Anolis sagrei: one gene and its partner. The protein of the gene in region 2 interacts with the protein of the main gene of each other region in a pairwise test. Links are inferred from orthologs where the notes say so. Each region holds a gene or a part of one and is shown on either strand. Other genes may lie near its edges. The genes, in order: MAPK14 and SUPT20H.

The links.
Region 1: the proteins of SUPT20H (region 2) and MAPK14 interact in binary tests that used the Homo sapiens proteins (3 or more experiments, as listed by UniProt). The link is inferred for Anolis sagrei from reciprocal best matches to the Homo sapiens genes SUPT20H and MAPK14.

Annotation. Positions count from the first base shown.
Region 1 is NC_090024.1:186,304,302-186,312,000, reverse strand, and holds the start of MAPK14 (mitogen-activated protein kinase 14), read right to left. Parts: upstream 3,176-7,699; 5' UTR 2,717-3,175; coding exon 2,601-2,716; intron 1-2,600. UniProt on the Homo sapiens protein: Serine/threonine kinase which acts as an essential component of the MAP kinase signal transduction pathway.
Region 2 is NC_090022.1:166,996,904-167,004,866, reverse strand, and holds the start of SUPT20H (transcription factor SPT20 homolog), read left to right. Parts: upstream 1-4,810; 5' UTR 4,811-4,909; intron 4,910-7,963. Other genes in the region: mediator of RNA polymerase II transcription subunit 18-like, read right to left, coding at 292-361. UniProt on the Homo sapiens protein: Required for MAP kinase p38 (MAPK11, MAPK12, MAPK13 and/or MAPK14) activation during gastrulation.

The DNA of each region.
Region 1 (7,699 bases), on a different chromosome or scaffold from region 2:
CTAATTTACTCTGAACTTTTTCCAGTGTGTGCATGTGTACAGGCAGGAGATTATGTACATCACAGACTAAGGATGAACCTACAAAGTTGAATTAATGCGTCTGACACTGCTTAACTGTTGGATTAATGCAATGTGATCATGGGGGCTGAAATTTTACAAGGTCTTTAGCCTTCTCTGCCAAAGAGTGCTGGTGCATCACCAAACTACAGATCCCAGTATTCCATATTATTGAGCAAAGGAAATTAAAGCTGTGTCAAACTTCATTAATTCTGAAGTGTAGATGCAATGTAAGATAAACATAATAAGGCTGGCCTCAATGCCTTCTGTCACGAAGACATGGAAACTTTAGTATGAGCAATATCATGCAGTAAGAGAAAGCAACAAAATTTGACCCCAATTAGCCAAAATGTTTGGAACCAAGAGTGATTGAAATTTTGGAGGATTCTGGAATTCAAAATAAGGGAAACTCAATATACATTGGGCTGGCAAAAGAACAAGAATGAAAGTCGATATAATGCCGGAGTAGCTTCTAAAATGCCAAGCCTCTTTATACCCCTTGCAATCTCAAAAAAAAAACCAACCTTGAACAATTATGAAACAACTCCTTTTTGCCAAAGGCTGCCTCCTCAGCACCAAAAGCTAGTGGGGTGCATGCAAAGACAGAACCGAAGGGGTCAAGGAGGTTTGCAGGAGAGACGCGCGAACTGCAGCAGATACTGTGACAGTGCACAATGCACCTGCGTAGAGGCGGCATCGCCAGCCAGCCAGCTTTTGCACAGGAGAGGAGCTGAATGCTGTTTGACACCAATTTAGCTGCCTTGGCTCAATGCTATGGAATGCACGATTTTGCAGATATGGCTGGACCCCCAGGATTCGACAGCATTGAGCCATGGTTAAACTGGTATCAAACTGTGCTGATTCTGCAGCGTAGATGTACTCTCAGTCAGGATGTTGAATTAATGCACTTTGTCAGTGCTTTAACTGCCATGGCTCAGTGCTATGGAATCCTATTTATTTACTTATTTATGACATTTACATGCCACCCTCCTCACCCCAAAGGGGACTCAGAGCAGCTTACAAGTTATATGTACATACAATGTATTACATCATTAGCACAGCACAATATTAGTATTACATGTTACTATATTGTATTATACCACTATGCTGTAATATTACATGTAATATGGAATATAAAATTATTATATTGTATTATTAGTATTATATTACATTGTAATATTATCAATAATATATGTATATACAATATATAATATTAGCACAGCACAATATTAGTATTATATATTACTATACTGTACTATACCACCATACTGCAGTATTACATGTAATATGAAATATAAATTATTACACTGTATTATTAGTATTATTTTGTATTACATTATAATATTATCAATAACATATGTCTATACAATATATTATATTATTGGCACAGCACAATATAGTATTAAATATTACAATATTGTACTGTATTTCTAAACTGTAATATTATTAGTAATATAAAGTATATGATAATTGGGTTGTTGTAGGTTTTTCGGGCTATATGGCCATGTTCCAGAAGCATTCTCTCCTGATGTTTTGCCTGCATCTGTATTTTGATTTTGTAAACTGATTTAATGTATTTTCAAAGGCTTTCATGGCCGGAATCACTGGGTTGTTGTAGGTATTTCGGGCTATGTCGCCATGTTCTAGAAGCATTCTCTCCTGACGTTTTGCCTGCATCTATGGCAAGCATCCTCACAGGTTGTTATTGTTATTTTGCCTGTGCTACTTGTAATTTTTACATTGTTATGTATGCGTATGTTTTATGTTAATATGATGTTATTGTTATTGTTTGCATTTTCGGTTTGTGTTTTGGTTTTTTTTTCTTTATTGTAATTGTTGTTTGGGCTTGGCCTCATGTAAGCCGCTCCGAGTCCCCATCGGGGAGATGGTGGCGAGGTATAAGTAAAGATAATTATTATTATTATTATTATTGTGAAATCTGACCTCACTACCTCTGAGGATGCTTGCCATAGATGCAGGCAAAACGTCAGGAGAGAATGCTTCTAGAACATGGCCATATAGCCCGAAAAACCTACAACAATCCAGTGATTATTATTATTTTAATGAAATAAATTACGCCAATGGCCAGAGGTCTGGAGGAGCCCAGCAGCAGCCACCAGTACTCGGGAGACTCTCCAAGCCCCCATAACCCTAAATATTATTATTATTATTATTAAACTTTATTTGTACCCCGCTAGCATATCCCGAAGGACTCGATGCGGCTTACAAAGGCCAAGGCCTCAACACACAATATAACAATACAAAACCTAAAGCAAATAATCCCAGCCATGAAAGACTTGGCCAATATATGATTTTTATATTGTATTATTACGAATATATTGTAATCCTAGGAGCCTTCAGCCATCTCTGCCAAAGAGATGCTAACTCATCGAATTAGAACTCCCAATACTCCACAGCACTGAGACAGGGCAACTGCAGGGGTGTCAAACTGCAGATGCGGCCAAGGCGGTCTGCCTTGAACGTGTGACCCTGAGGCTCTGTTAAGGAGCTCCCTCCCTTTTCGACGAAGGGTTGCCACTCACCAGACCGAGCCGTAGGCCCCGGAGCCCACCGGCGAGAGGTTCTGGTACCGCTCGGGGACCTCCCAGATGGTCTTGTTCAGCTCCTGCCGGTAGAACTTGGGCCGCTCGTGGGTCATCGCGACCCCGGGCCCGCCCCGCCCAGCGCGGCCTGGAGGGAGGGAGACCCTCGCACGGGACCCTTGGCTCCGCCCCCTTCAGAGGGGAGGGGGGAAAGGGGAGGGGTCTCTCCGTCACTCACTCACTCACACACACACACACTCTCTCTCTCTGTGCTGCGCGCGCGCCCAACCGCCGCCTCAGCTGGCCCGGACGCCTCGTGCCGCTGCAGGGGAAACACGGGGCGCCTCTTTCCTTGGGAACTGCTTTTAGGGACCCCCTCACCCCACCCCCTGCAAAAAGCCTTCCCCCCTCAGCGTAAGGAGGCTTGCGGTCGCCCTGGAAGAAGCCCGCTTCAGCCCCGCAACGACGAGGACTCGCCCGCGCCTGACTTCTCCCGACCTCCCCTTCTTCCTTAGATGCCAGAACCAATCGATCGCGGAGGTCTCGCGAGACTTCCGGGAGATGGATGGAAAAAAAAAAACTCCCAGCGAGATGCCCCAATATGGAACCTAGCTGGAGCGCTCTGGAATCCGCGGAGCAGCGGGAAGGTCTCGCGAGAGCCTGAAGGCAGCGAGAAGAAAAGGCGAAAGAAGGCGGAGCTTGAGAACAGGAAGGATGAGATTTTGTGACAGCTCCAGCTGGTCTGTCTCTCTCTCTCTCTCTCTCTACACCAGTGTTTCTCTACCTTTCTAGTCCAGGACCCCTTTAATACAGTTCCTCCTGTTGTGGTGACTCCCAATCACAAAATTATTTTGGTTGCTATTTATTTACTTACTAGCCGTCCCCTGCCACACGTTGCTGTGGCCCACATGGGGGTTGTGTGTGGGAGGTTTGGCCCAATTCTATCGTTGGTGGGGTTCAGAATGCTCTGTGATTGTAGGTGAACTATAAATCCCAGCAACTACAACTCCCAAATGTCAAGATTCTATTTCCCCCAAACTCCACCAGTGTTCACATCTGGGCATATTGAGTATTCATGTAGAGTTTGGTCCAGATCCATCATTGCTTGTGTCCACGGTGATCTCTGGATGTAGGTGAACTACAACTCCAAAAGTAGGAGCCCCCGGTGGCGCAGTGGGTTAAACCCCTATGCCGGCAGGACTGAAGACCGACAGGTCGCAGGTTCGAATCCAGGGAGAGGCGGTTGAGCTCCCTCTATCAGCTCCAGCTCCTCATGCAGGGACATGAGAGAAGCCTCCCACAAGGATGATAAAAACATCAAATCATCCAGGCGTCCCCTGGGCAACGTCCTTGCAGACAGCCAATTCTCTCACAAGAGAAGCAACTTGCTCCTGACACGACAAAAAAAAAAAACAACAACAACAAAAAAACAAAACTCCAAAACCAAAGGACACTGCCCACCAAACCCTTCCAATATTTTCTGTTGGTCATGGAGTTCTGTGTGCCAAGTTTGGTTCAATTCCATCGTTAATGTAGTTCAGAATGCTCTTTGATTATAGGTTAACTATAAATCCCAGCAACTACAACTCCCAAATGACAAAATAATATTTTTTTGAGTGATGGCCACTCCTTGTATAGTGAGACGTTTTGTTGCCAAATTTGGTGTGATTTCGTTCACTGGTTCTTTTGTTTTTAAGGTACTCATTATGCACAGAGCATTTATATATATATAGATTTCCAGTATTTCTACCCCATCCTTCTCAACCCCTGAAGGGGGACTCAGGATGACTTAAATTTGGCACAATGTGATGCCATTAAATATAACAAAGCAATATAACAACAATTAAAACATAAATAGAACATTAAATAAAACAATAAAAACAGTATTAACCACCGTATCACCATTCCAGTCAAATTCCATATCCAAAGTTGGATGGGGTTACACTCCCCCTGAAGGCACAGGTTCGGAGCTTGGGAGTGGTTCTGGATTCATTGCTGAGCCTGGAACCCCAGGTTTTGGCGGTGGCCACGTCAACTTTTGCATAGTCAAAGCTTGTGCGCCAGCTACACCCGTACCTTGGGAAGTCTGAACTGGCTATGGTCGTCCACGCTCTGGTCACATCCCGAATAGATTACTGCAACGCACTCTACATGGGGATGTCTTTGAAGACGGTTCGGAAACCACGACTTCAATTTCTTGCTAAAACACAGGAGGGATGAAGCCGATCTACCTCGTTGTGAAGCGAGTTCCACAGGCAGAGGGCTACAGCCGAGGAGGCCCTGTCTCTCATTCCTGCCAGACGTATTTGTAATGCTGGCGGGAGCGAGAGCAGGGTCTCCCCGGATGATCTTAAACTGCAAAGCAGGACATAGAGGGAGATGCGTTCAGACAAGTAAGTTGGGCCAAAACTGCATAGAGCTTAATAGGTCAAAACCAGCACTTTGAATTGAGTTTGGAAGTGTATCGGCAGCCAATGGAGCTGGCACAACAAGGGGGTGGTGTGCTCCCTGTATGTCGCTCCAGTTAGTAATCTGGCTGCAGCCCGGTGGACTAGTTGAAGTTTCCGAACAGGCTTCAAAGGCAGCCCCGTGTAGAATGTGTTGCAGTAATCAGTTCGGGATGTAACAAGAGCGTGGACAACTATTGCCAGATCAGACTTCCCAAAGTACGGGCGCAGCTGGCACACAAGCTTTAACTGTGCAAAAGCTCCCCTGGCCACCGCTGAAACCTGGGGTTCCAGGCTCAGCAATGAATCCAGGATCACTCCCAAGCTGCGAACCTGCGTCTTCAGGGGGAGTGTAACCCCATCCAACACAGGATGTAACCCTATGCCCTGTTCGGCCTTTTGACTGACCTCTGTCTTGTCAGGATTCAATTTCAATTTGTTAGCCCTCATCCAGTCCAACACAGTGGCCAAGCACTGGTTCAGTAGCTGAACAGCCTCCTTAGTAACGGGGTGGGAAGGAGTGACAGATTTGGACGTCATCTGCTACTTCATAACTGTAATGTTGCTACTGTTATGAATCGTCGTGTAAATATCTGATATGTAGGATGTATTTTCATTCACTGGACCAAATCTGGCACAAATACCCAATATGCCCAAATTTGAATACTGGTGGGGCTTGGAGGGGGGGGGGGGGGGGTTGATTTTTGCCATTTGGGAATAGTAATTGCTGGGATTTTAGTTCATCTACCAAAAAGCATTCTGAACTCCACCAACGATGGAATTGAACCAAACTTGAAACACAGAACTCGCATGACCAACAGAAAATACTGGAAGGGCTTGGTCGGCATTGACCTTGAGTTTAGGAGTTGTAGTTCAGCTACATCCAGAGAGCACTGTGGACTCAAACGTTGATAGATCTGGACCAAACTTGGTACAAATACTCAATATGCCCAAATGTGAATACTAGTGGAGTTTAGGTAAAATAGACCTTGACATTTTGGAGTTGTAGTTGCTGGGATTTATAGTTTACCTACAATCAAAGAGCATTCTGAACCCCCCCCCCCCCACATGGTCTTTCGCAGCCCCTCCAATACCCCCTCGTGATCCCCCCCAGGGGCCCCGATCCCCAGGTTGAGAAACGCTGCTCTACACTGTAGAACAGGGATGGACAAACTTTGACCTTCCTGGTGTTTAGGACTTCAACTCCCACAATTGCTTTTTTTTAATTAAATTTACATATATTAACACATTACAGTGTAAACAGAACACAAAACAATTACAAAACAATTACAAACACATAATCCCACAACCAAGGCCTGAACAAGTATAATTTCCTTTGCCACTAATTTATGAGTCAACCAGTAAACAGATGTCATATCCAAAATTCCTGACCAACAAGGTTGTAGGCTGTTAAGAATTGTGGGAGTTGAAGTCCAAAACACCTGGAGGGCCAAAGTTTGCCCATGCCTGCTATAGGAATGCGGTTTGACACCACTTTTACCTGCCCTGGCTCAATGGCACAGAATCCTGGAAGTTGTACTTTGGCAAGGCATACACACTCTTTGGCAGAGGAGGCTAAAGCTCTTGTCAAACTACAGCTCCCTGGACCCCACAGCAGTTGAAGTGGTGCCAAACTGCAATTCATTCTACAGTGTAGAAGGTGCACCCTGGGAAATCCAAGATTACATTTGTGGCTTTCCTGCCAATTCTTCAACTAGATGGTGCAACTTTCTCTCGCAGTCCTTGTGTTTATGCTAATCTCATGGGATATTATTTTTACACCTAAGAATTATGCATCTGGTATAGTCTGGCAATTTTTTTGTTGCTGTCACTCAACCAAGATGCTTTTATAAAAACAGCTTTTAAACATGAATTTTAATGTCCTTTGTTTAATCTGGGTTGTGTTTTTTTGCATTTTAATACACATTTTATAGAAATAAATTTTAATATGTATCTTTTTATAGATATACATTTTATTTTTTATTTTTTAAATATTTTTATTACTTTATCATAATTATTACATTTATTATACATTTGTTTATAGCAGTTACATATTATTCAACACCCTCTTTAACATATAATCTTTTTCTTCTGCTTAAGCATTTTCCCCCTTTTTTCCCCCCACCACTGTGCTCCCCTCCCCCCATTTCAAGCCACAACTTTTACATATCATCTGTCCAAAATCTCATTTCTTCTTGTGGCGGTAACCTTCCTTGTTTTTTAAACCATTTACAACAAATTTACCCCATACAACATCAAAATCACTTTGTTTCCATATACTTTTTTAACTTTTAATATACATGTCAGCTTATTATTTATTGCCAATTTCCATGCTTCCTTGTACCACTCCTCTATTTGTATATTTATTTCTTTTTTCCAGTTCCTTGCTATGAGCAGTCTTGCTATTGTTAATAAGTTTATCACTTCTTTATCCTCCTTGTTCAATTGTTTGTTGTTATATAGTGATAATAAGGCTATACTAGGACTTTTCTCAATTTTCATATTCATTATATCTTCTATTTCTCTAAATACTTTCTCCCAAAAATTATTTACATATTTACATTGCCACCACATATGTATGTATGTTCCTGGTTTTTGACACCCGCTCCAACAATTTTTTGAATTATTTTTATTTATATATGCTATTCTTAC
Region 2 (7,963 bases):
ATATGAGGCCACTAACAAAATGACGTTCTGTTTTGCTTGCCCACGTGACAGTTCCTGGTGGTGGGCAGGAGAAAGGCCTCTGTGGGTAAGCTCACATACTCAGTAACAGACCTAGGTTTTCCATTTTGCAATGTGTAAAACAGCTCGCAATAAAGGTATCTCTCTTTTTCACAATCCTGCTGCTATAAAAAGAATACAACTGCCTAACTAAAGGCAACTGAATTCTTGTAAACGGGTGTGAAACAGCATGAATGAGACAGAGCATCATGACAAACCTTACTGGTGACTTACCTTGAAGTAAATATTCCATGTTTATGGTCCCGCCAGTGACTGGCATCATGGTGACTGGAGGAGCCTCCATGGTGAAATCTTCCCTACAAGGAAAACAGGATCAATTAGAATGGGCTGCGGATTTACAGGCTGGGGAATAAAGGTCTCCCACGAAGCTATCTAGATAAAAATGTATATATTACAGAAAAGTACATAAAACAGTTTTGTTTTAATGGGTTTTAAAAATCATATCAGATAAATCATTTTCTAAGGATGCAGTTTTAAACTGACATGTAGAATCCTCCTCAAACTCTGACTTGATAACCCCAGTACCATGGCCTGCTTATGAGTGGAACGCCTGCACAACTGCTGTGGGGAGGCTTTTCCTGCTTCCATATTTTCTGGCACTCTAATGGCACTTGGTTTGCCAGGGACTTTCTTTTCAGTGTTCATCCAGTTGGCCAGAGATTAGAAATCCATAACAAAAAAATGTTTTCTGATTTAGTACAGATGCATTTAAACTGAGCGCAAAGCAAGTAAGAACGCCCTCAACATTGTTATCACAGAACGGTTGTTTTCTGTCTCGAATTCCTCTGTTTTCTTAATGTTGTTCTTTATTCACTGTTCTGATTTTAGAGTTTTTAAATACTGGCAGGCATATTTTGTTCATTTTCATGGTTTCCTCCTTTCTGTTGAAATTGTCCACATGCTTCCTGTGGATTTCAGAAAACAGAGGAATTCCAGTCATGAATCAATCAGGGCCAGCTCACACCTCCCAACAAAGGATTGGAAGTAAACAGCCAGACCTTGAAACTGAAAGGCTCATCAATGCTAATCAAGGTGGTCAACTGCAACATTCACACTTGTCTGAGTGAAAGAGGGTCTACACTAGCAAACCTTTTGTATCATTACCCCAATACCCCCATGCATATGGGATATATTGAGTATGGTGATCAGATCATGATATGAATAAATGTAACAGTTTAAATAATGCACCAGTAAGGCCTTCTTGCAAACCACCATGAGAATTTGGGGGGGGGGGGAGGGGCTGAAGCCCCTCAAGCCCCCCCCCCCCCCAGCTACATGCCTGCTCAGCGGTTTAACCCACTGTGCCACTGGGGGCCTGTTAAATATATTGTATTACAAAAGGTGTTGGGTTCTGGCCCAACTTATCTGTCCAAACGCATCTCCCCTCATGAATCATCGAGGACTTTAAGATCGTCTGGGGAGACCTTGCTCTCAGTCCCGCCTTTGTCACAAATACGTCTGGTGGGGACGAGAGACAGGGCTTTCTTGGTGGTGGCCCCTTGGCTATGGAATGCCCTCCCAATAGGTAGGTACATACATCGATCAATCAGGAGGACTGCTGGGAGTTACAGTCCAAGAATAGGTAGAGAAGGAAGAAAGGAGAGAAAGATAAAGGGAAAGATAAGGGGGGGGGAGAAGTAGAGAAGGAAGGAAGGACAGAAGGAAAGAAAAAAGGGGAAGGAAGAAAGGAGAGAAAGGGGAGGGAAGGTTGGCCACCTTAACGCGTGGTGGGTACAGCTAGTGGGGAATAATAGGGATTGCTGTTATTATCAGAACATGAAGAATGGGAAACCCAACCTTGCCACCAAAGTAGGAAAGAAACCAATAGCCAGACAACGAGAGACTGAGAACAATCTTCCTGAACCTTTTACATCTACTGAATTGGACATGGCTCTCAATAAATGTAAAAAATGGCAAAGCAGTTGGTCTGGATGATCTACGGATGGAACAAATCAAGAACTTTGGCCCAAAAGCAAGGCACTGGCTGCTGGAGCTGATGAACTACTGCACTGCTTCCTGTCGGATCCCCAAAATCTGGAGTCATTGCCATCTTGAAGCCAGGCAAAGACTCAAGATGAAGCCAGGTAATGACTCAAAAAGCTACAGACCAATCTCCCTGTTGTGCCACCTGTACAAAGTTCTGGAGAGACTTATTTTGCATAGAATTACAGAAGAAATAGACCCGTGTCTGATCCCACAGTAAGCTGGCTTCAGGAAAGGCAAAAGCTGCACATCGCAAGTGCTGAACCTGACTCAGCACATAGAAGATGGCTTTTAAAGGCAGCAGATCACAGAAACTGTCTTCATAGACCTGGCAGCAGCCTATGATACTGTGAACCACCGCTCCTATTAATGCAGGCCAAAATCCCATTGGCTTTTTTTGCCGCCTCATCACATTGTTGGCACATGTTTAACTTGTTGCCCACGAGGACTCCAAGATCTTTTTCACACGTACTGCTCTCGAGCCAGGCATTGTCCCCCATTCTGTATCTTTGCATTTTATTTTTGCTGCCAAAGTGGAGTATCTTGCATTTGTCCCTGTTGAACTTCATTTTGTTAGTTTTGGCCCATCTCTTTAATCTGTCAAGATCGTTTTGAATCCTGCTCCTGTCCTCTGTAGTATTAGCTATCCCTCCCAATTTGGTGTCGCCTGCAAACTTGATGATCCTGCCTTCTAACCCTTCATCTAAGTAATTAATAAAGATGTTGAACAGGACCAGGCCCAGGACGGAACCCTGCTTGTGGCACTCAGCTTGTCACTTCTTTCCAGGATGAAGAGGAAGCATTGGTGAGAACCCTCTGGGTCCGTCCATTTAACCAAATACAGATCCACCTCACCGTAGTTTTGCCTAGCCCACATTGGACTAGTTTGTTTGCCAGAAGGTCATGGGGGACCTTGTCAAAGGCCTTACTGAAATCCAGGTACACTACATCCACGGCATTCTCCGCATCTTCCCAGTTTGTAACTCTATCGAAAAGATTAGTCTGGCATGAGATGGTAGAACAGAAGCTCTCCGAAGCTCTAGGTGCTCTTACTGCCCATTAAAGGGAAAACCAGCTGTTCCCCAACCCATCTAAAACACAGACATGTGCTTTTCATCTCAAGAACAGACAAGCATCCCGAGCTCTGAGGATTACCTGGGAAAGAATCCCATTGGAGCATTGCAACGCACCCAAATACCTGGGAGTCACTCTGGACCGTGCTCTTACCTGCAAGAAGCACTGTCTGAACATCAAACAAAAAGTGGGTGCTAGAAACAATATCATACGAAAGCTGACTGGCCCAACCTGGGGATCACAACCAGACACAGTAAAGACATCTGCCCTTGCGCTATGCTACTCTGCTGCTGAGTATGCATGCCCAGTGTGGAACACATCTCACCACGCTAAAACAGTAGATGTGGCTCTTAATGACATGCTGCCTTATCACAGGGTGTCTGCGCCCTACACCACTGGAGAAATTACACTGCTTAGCCGGTATTGCACCACCTGACATCAGCCGGGACGTAGCAGCCAATAGTGAAAGGACCAAGGCAGAGACATCTCTAGCTCATCCCCTGTTTGGGTATCAGCCAGCACGTCAATGATTTAAATCTAGAAATAGTTTTCTAAGATCTACAGAGACACTTGCAGGAACACCTCAGCAAGCCAGAGTCCAAAAGTGGCAGGCTCAAACCTAGCACCTCAACCAATGGCTGATACCAAATGAGAGACTCCCCCCTGGGCACACAGAAAACTGGGCGACTTGGAAGGCGCTGAACAGACTGCACTCTGGCACCACAAGATGCAGAGCCAACCTCAAGAAACGGGGCTACAAAGTGGAATCCACGACATGCGAGTGTGGAGAAGAGCAAACCACACTGACCACCTGCTGCAATGCAACCTGAGCCCTGCCATATGCACCATGGAGGACCTTCTTACAGCAACACCAGAAGCACTCCAAGTGGCCAGCTACTGGTCAAAGGACATTTAATCAACTACCAAACTCGCAAATTTTGTATTTTGTCTGTTTGTTTGTTTTGTTCTGGTAGAAATGTAATACAATTGACTGGTTGCCCTGACACAACAAATAAAATCAGAACATTGCATTTATTTCCTATGCAAGCAAAGTGATGCTTAAGACTAAAACACAGACATGTGCTTTTCATCTCAAGAACAGACAAGCATCCTGAGCTCTGGATTACCTGGAAAAGAATCCCACTGGCTGATACCAAATGAGACTCCCCCTTGGGCACACAAAAAACTGGGCGACTTGGAAGGCGCTGAACAGACTGAGCTCTGGCACCACGAGATGCAGAGCCAACCTTCAGAAATGGGGCTACAAAGTGGAATCCACGACATGCGAGTGTGGAGAAGAGCAAACCACTGACCACCTGCTGCAATGCAACCTGAGCCCTGCTACATGCACCATGGAGGGCCTTCTTGAAGCAACACCAGAAGCACTCCAAGTGGCCAGATACTGGTCAAAGGACATTTAACCAACTACCAAACTCACAAATGCTGTATTTTATCTGTGTGTTTGCTTTGTTCTGTTAGAAATGTAATATAATCGACTGGTTGCCCTGACACGACAAATAAATAAGAACTCCCCACGTGCCTTAAACGCGGGCCTACAAGCATTCAGCTGAACTAGAGAAGCAGCAGTAATAAGCACAACTCTCGCGGGAAGTGCGCTGCAGGCGAGATTTCAGAGTGCCCGTGAGAAGCGAGCAATTCCGGTCTCAGCAGCATCGCGAGATGCGAGTCTGCGCGCGCGCGGTTCTTCCTTCGGGCGGAAGCTGGGTTTCAAGAGCCGCTGCTGAAAGCGGAGGAGGAAGAGTCACTGGCTGTGGTGAGCGGGGGTCGCGGTTGTTTGGGGCCCTTCGCGGCGTTGCCATGTTATTCAGTCGCGGTTTGAATGGGCGGAGATACAGGTGTCGGAGTAAGCGGCGCTTCACAGGTGGCCGTCTGACGTGTTGAGGGCTGCCCTTGTCTCTTCTCTTGCATTGGAGCTTGGGGGGGGGGGGGGTGATAGCTGGGCCCGGAAGCTCCGAGTGTTACGCACATTCCGCAAAGGCGGTTGTGAATAAGGGAAGGGGAGAGCGGCACGCGGAGGAGGGCGGGGATAGACTTCAATTTGGTGGAAGGATAGAAAGGAGGGGATTAGGGTAACGTTTAGGATGAGGTTTAGGGTTTGGAGTAGGACAAGGGTTAGGGTTAGGGTTAGAATTAGGGGTTAGAGTAAGGGTTAAGGTTTTGTTGTTGTTGTTCATTCGTTCAGTCGCCTCCGACTCTTCGTGACCTCATGAACCAGCCCACGCCAGAGCTCCCTGTCGGCCGTCACCACCCCCAGCTCCTTCAAGGTCAGTCCAGTCACTTCAAGGATGCCATCCATCCATCTTGCCCTTGGTCGGCCCCTCTTCCTTTTGCCTTCCACTTTCCCCAGCATAATTGTCTTCTCTAGGCTTTGCTGTCTCCTCATGATGTGGCCAAAGTACTTCAACTTTGTCTCTAGTATCCTTCCCTCCAGTGAGCAGTCGGGCTTTATTTCCTGGAGGATGGACTGGTTGGATCTTCTCGCAGTCCAAGGCACTCTCAGAACTTTCCTCCAGCACCACAGTTCAAAAGCATCGATCTTCCTTCGCTCAGCCTTCCCTAAGGTCCAGCTCTCACATCCATAGGTTACTACAGGGAATACCATGGCTTTGACTAGGCGGATCTCTGTTGCCAGTGTGATGTCTCTACTCTTCACTATTTTATCGAGACTGGACATTGCTCTCCTCCCAAGAAGTAAGCGTCTTCTGATTTCCTGGCCACAGTCTGCATCTGCAGTAATCTTTGCACCTAGAAATACAAAGTCTGTCACGGCCTCTATGTTTTCTCCCTCTATTTTCTAGTTGTCAATCATTCTTGTTGCCATAATCTTGGTTTTTTTATGTTTAACTGCAACCTGGCTTTTGTGCTTTCTTCTTTCACCTTGATTAGAAGGCTCCTCAGCTCCTCCTCGCTTTCGGCCATCAGAGTGGTGTCATCTGCATATCAGAGGTTTTTAATGTTTCTTCCAGCAATTTTCACCCCAGCTTTGCATTCGTCAAGCCCCGCACATCGCATGATGTGTTCTGCAAGTTAAAAAGGTTGGGTGAGAGTATGCAGCCTTGCTGTACGCCTTTCCCAATCTTGAACCAGTCTGTTGTTCCGTGGTCAGTTCTGACTGTTGCTACTTGGTTTTACTTGGTTAAGGTTTTACCATTAAAGAAATCTTACATTCCTTCTTTAATATCTCTGTTCCATTCTGCGTTGTGCAAACAGTGCAGCGCAGCGGAAACAGCGTAAGGCTCAGCGCTTCCGGACCCAGCTTTCATACTATTACCGAGCTTGGTCTCAAACTGCAGCCCTCCAACTCCCAGAATTCCTGACCATGGAGCAAGCTGGCGAGGGCTTCTGGGACTTGGAGACCCACGCAGCTGGAGGAAGCCTTTTGTCCTGTTTGAGCGCCAGGCTATGGCTCTAGAGACACGGGTTCGGATCCCACTCCCACTGAGTGATCCTGGGTGAACCGCACCCTCTCGGCCTCAGAAAACTCCGTCGAAGGGCCGCCATGGGTCGGAAACGACACGGAGGCACATAAACTGCATGGAAAGGAATGGTATCTGAACAATGGGAAGAACTTCCTGAGCTGATCAGCAATGGAATATATTCCTGCCTTGGGGTGGAGGTTTTTAAGCAGAGGCTGGATTGCCATCTGCCAGGGGTGCTTGGATGGTGTGTTCCTGCAAGGCAGAAGAGCGCTGGACTGGACAATAATGATGAATTTATTGCCTGCCTCTCACTGTAACTGGACGTGGGATACAACATCGTTTTATTTATTTATTGTGTCAGAAATGAATTGAGAATACAGTTATAATGTATAAAAAACCACAAACAAAGTTAAAAACTTGGCATTGTGCTAAATTTCCTTTGACCAGTAGCTGACCACTTGGAGTGCCTCTGGTGTTGCTGTGAGAAGGTCCTCCATTGTGCATGTGACAGGGCTGATGCTGCATTGTAGTAGGTGGTCTGTGGTTTGCTCTTCTCCACACTCCCATGTTGTTGACTCTACTTTGTAGCCCCATTTCTTAATATTGGTTCTACATCTTGTGCCTTCCAAGTCTTCCAGCCTGCTGTGTGCCCAGGAAGGAGTTTCTCATCTGGTCTCAGCCGCTGATTGATGTTCTGGGTTTTAGCCTGCCACTTTTGGACTCTTGCTTGCTGCGGTGTTCCTTCAAGTATCTCTGTAGATATTAGGAAGCTATTTCTTGGTTTAAGACGTTGACGTGCTGGCTCATATCTGAACAGGGAATGGACCAGAGATGTCAATGCCTTGTTCCATTCATTACTGGCTGCTACTTCCCATGGACCTCATGGACCAACCCACTCCAGAGCTAGCTGTCAGCCATCGCCACCCCCAGCTTCTTCAAGGTCAAACCAGTTACTTCAAGGATACCATCCAGCCATCTTGCCCTTGGTTGACCCCTCTCCTCCCCCCCCCCCCCCCGGTATCATTATCTTCTCAAAGGTATCCTATCCTGTCTTCTCATTATGTGGTCAAAATACTTCATGGTTGCCTTTAATAGCTTTTCCTCCACTGAGCAGGGTTTTTTTCCCCTGGAGTATGGACTGGTTTGATCTTGCAGTCCAAGGCACTCTCAGAATTTTCCTCCAACACCATAGTTCAGAAGTGTCTATCTTCCTTTGCTCAGTCCTCCTTATGGTCCAGCTCTCGCATCCATAGGTTACTATGGGGAATACTATTGCTTTAACTATGTGGACCTTCATTGCCAGTATGATATCTCTACTCTTCACTATTTTATTGAGATTGGTCACTGCTCTCATCCCAAGAAGTAAACATCTGATTTCCTGGCTGTAG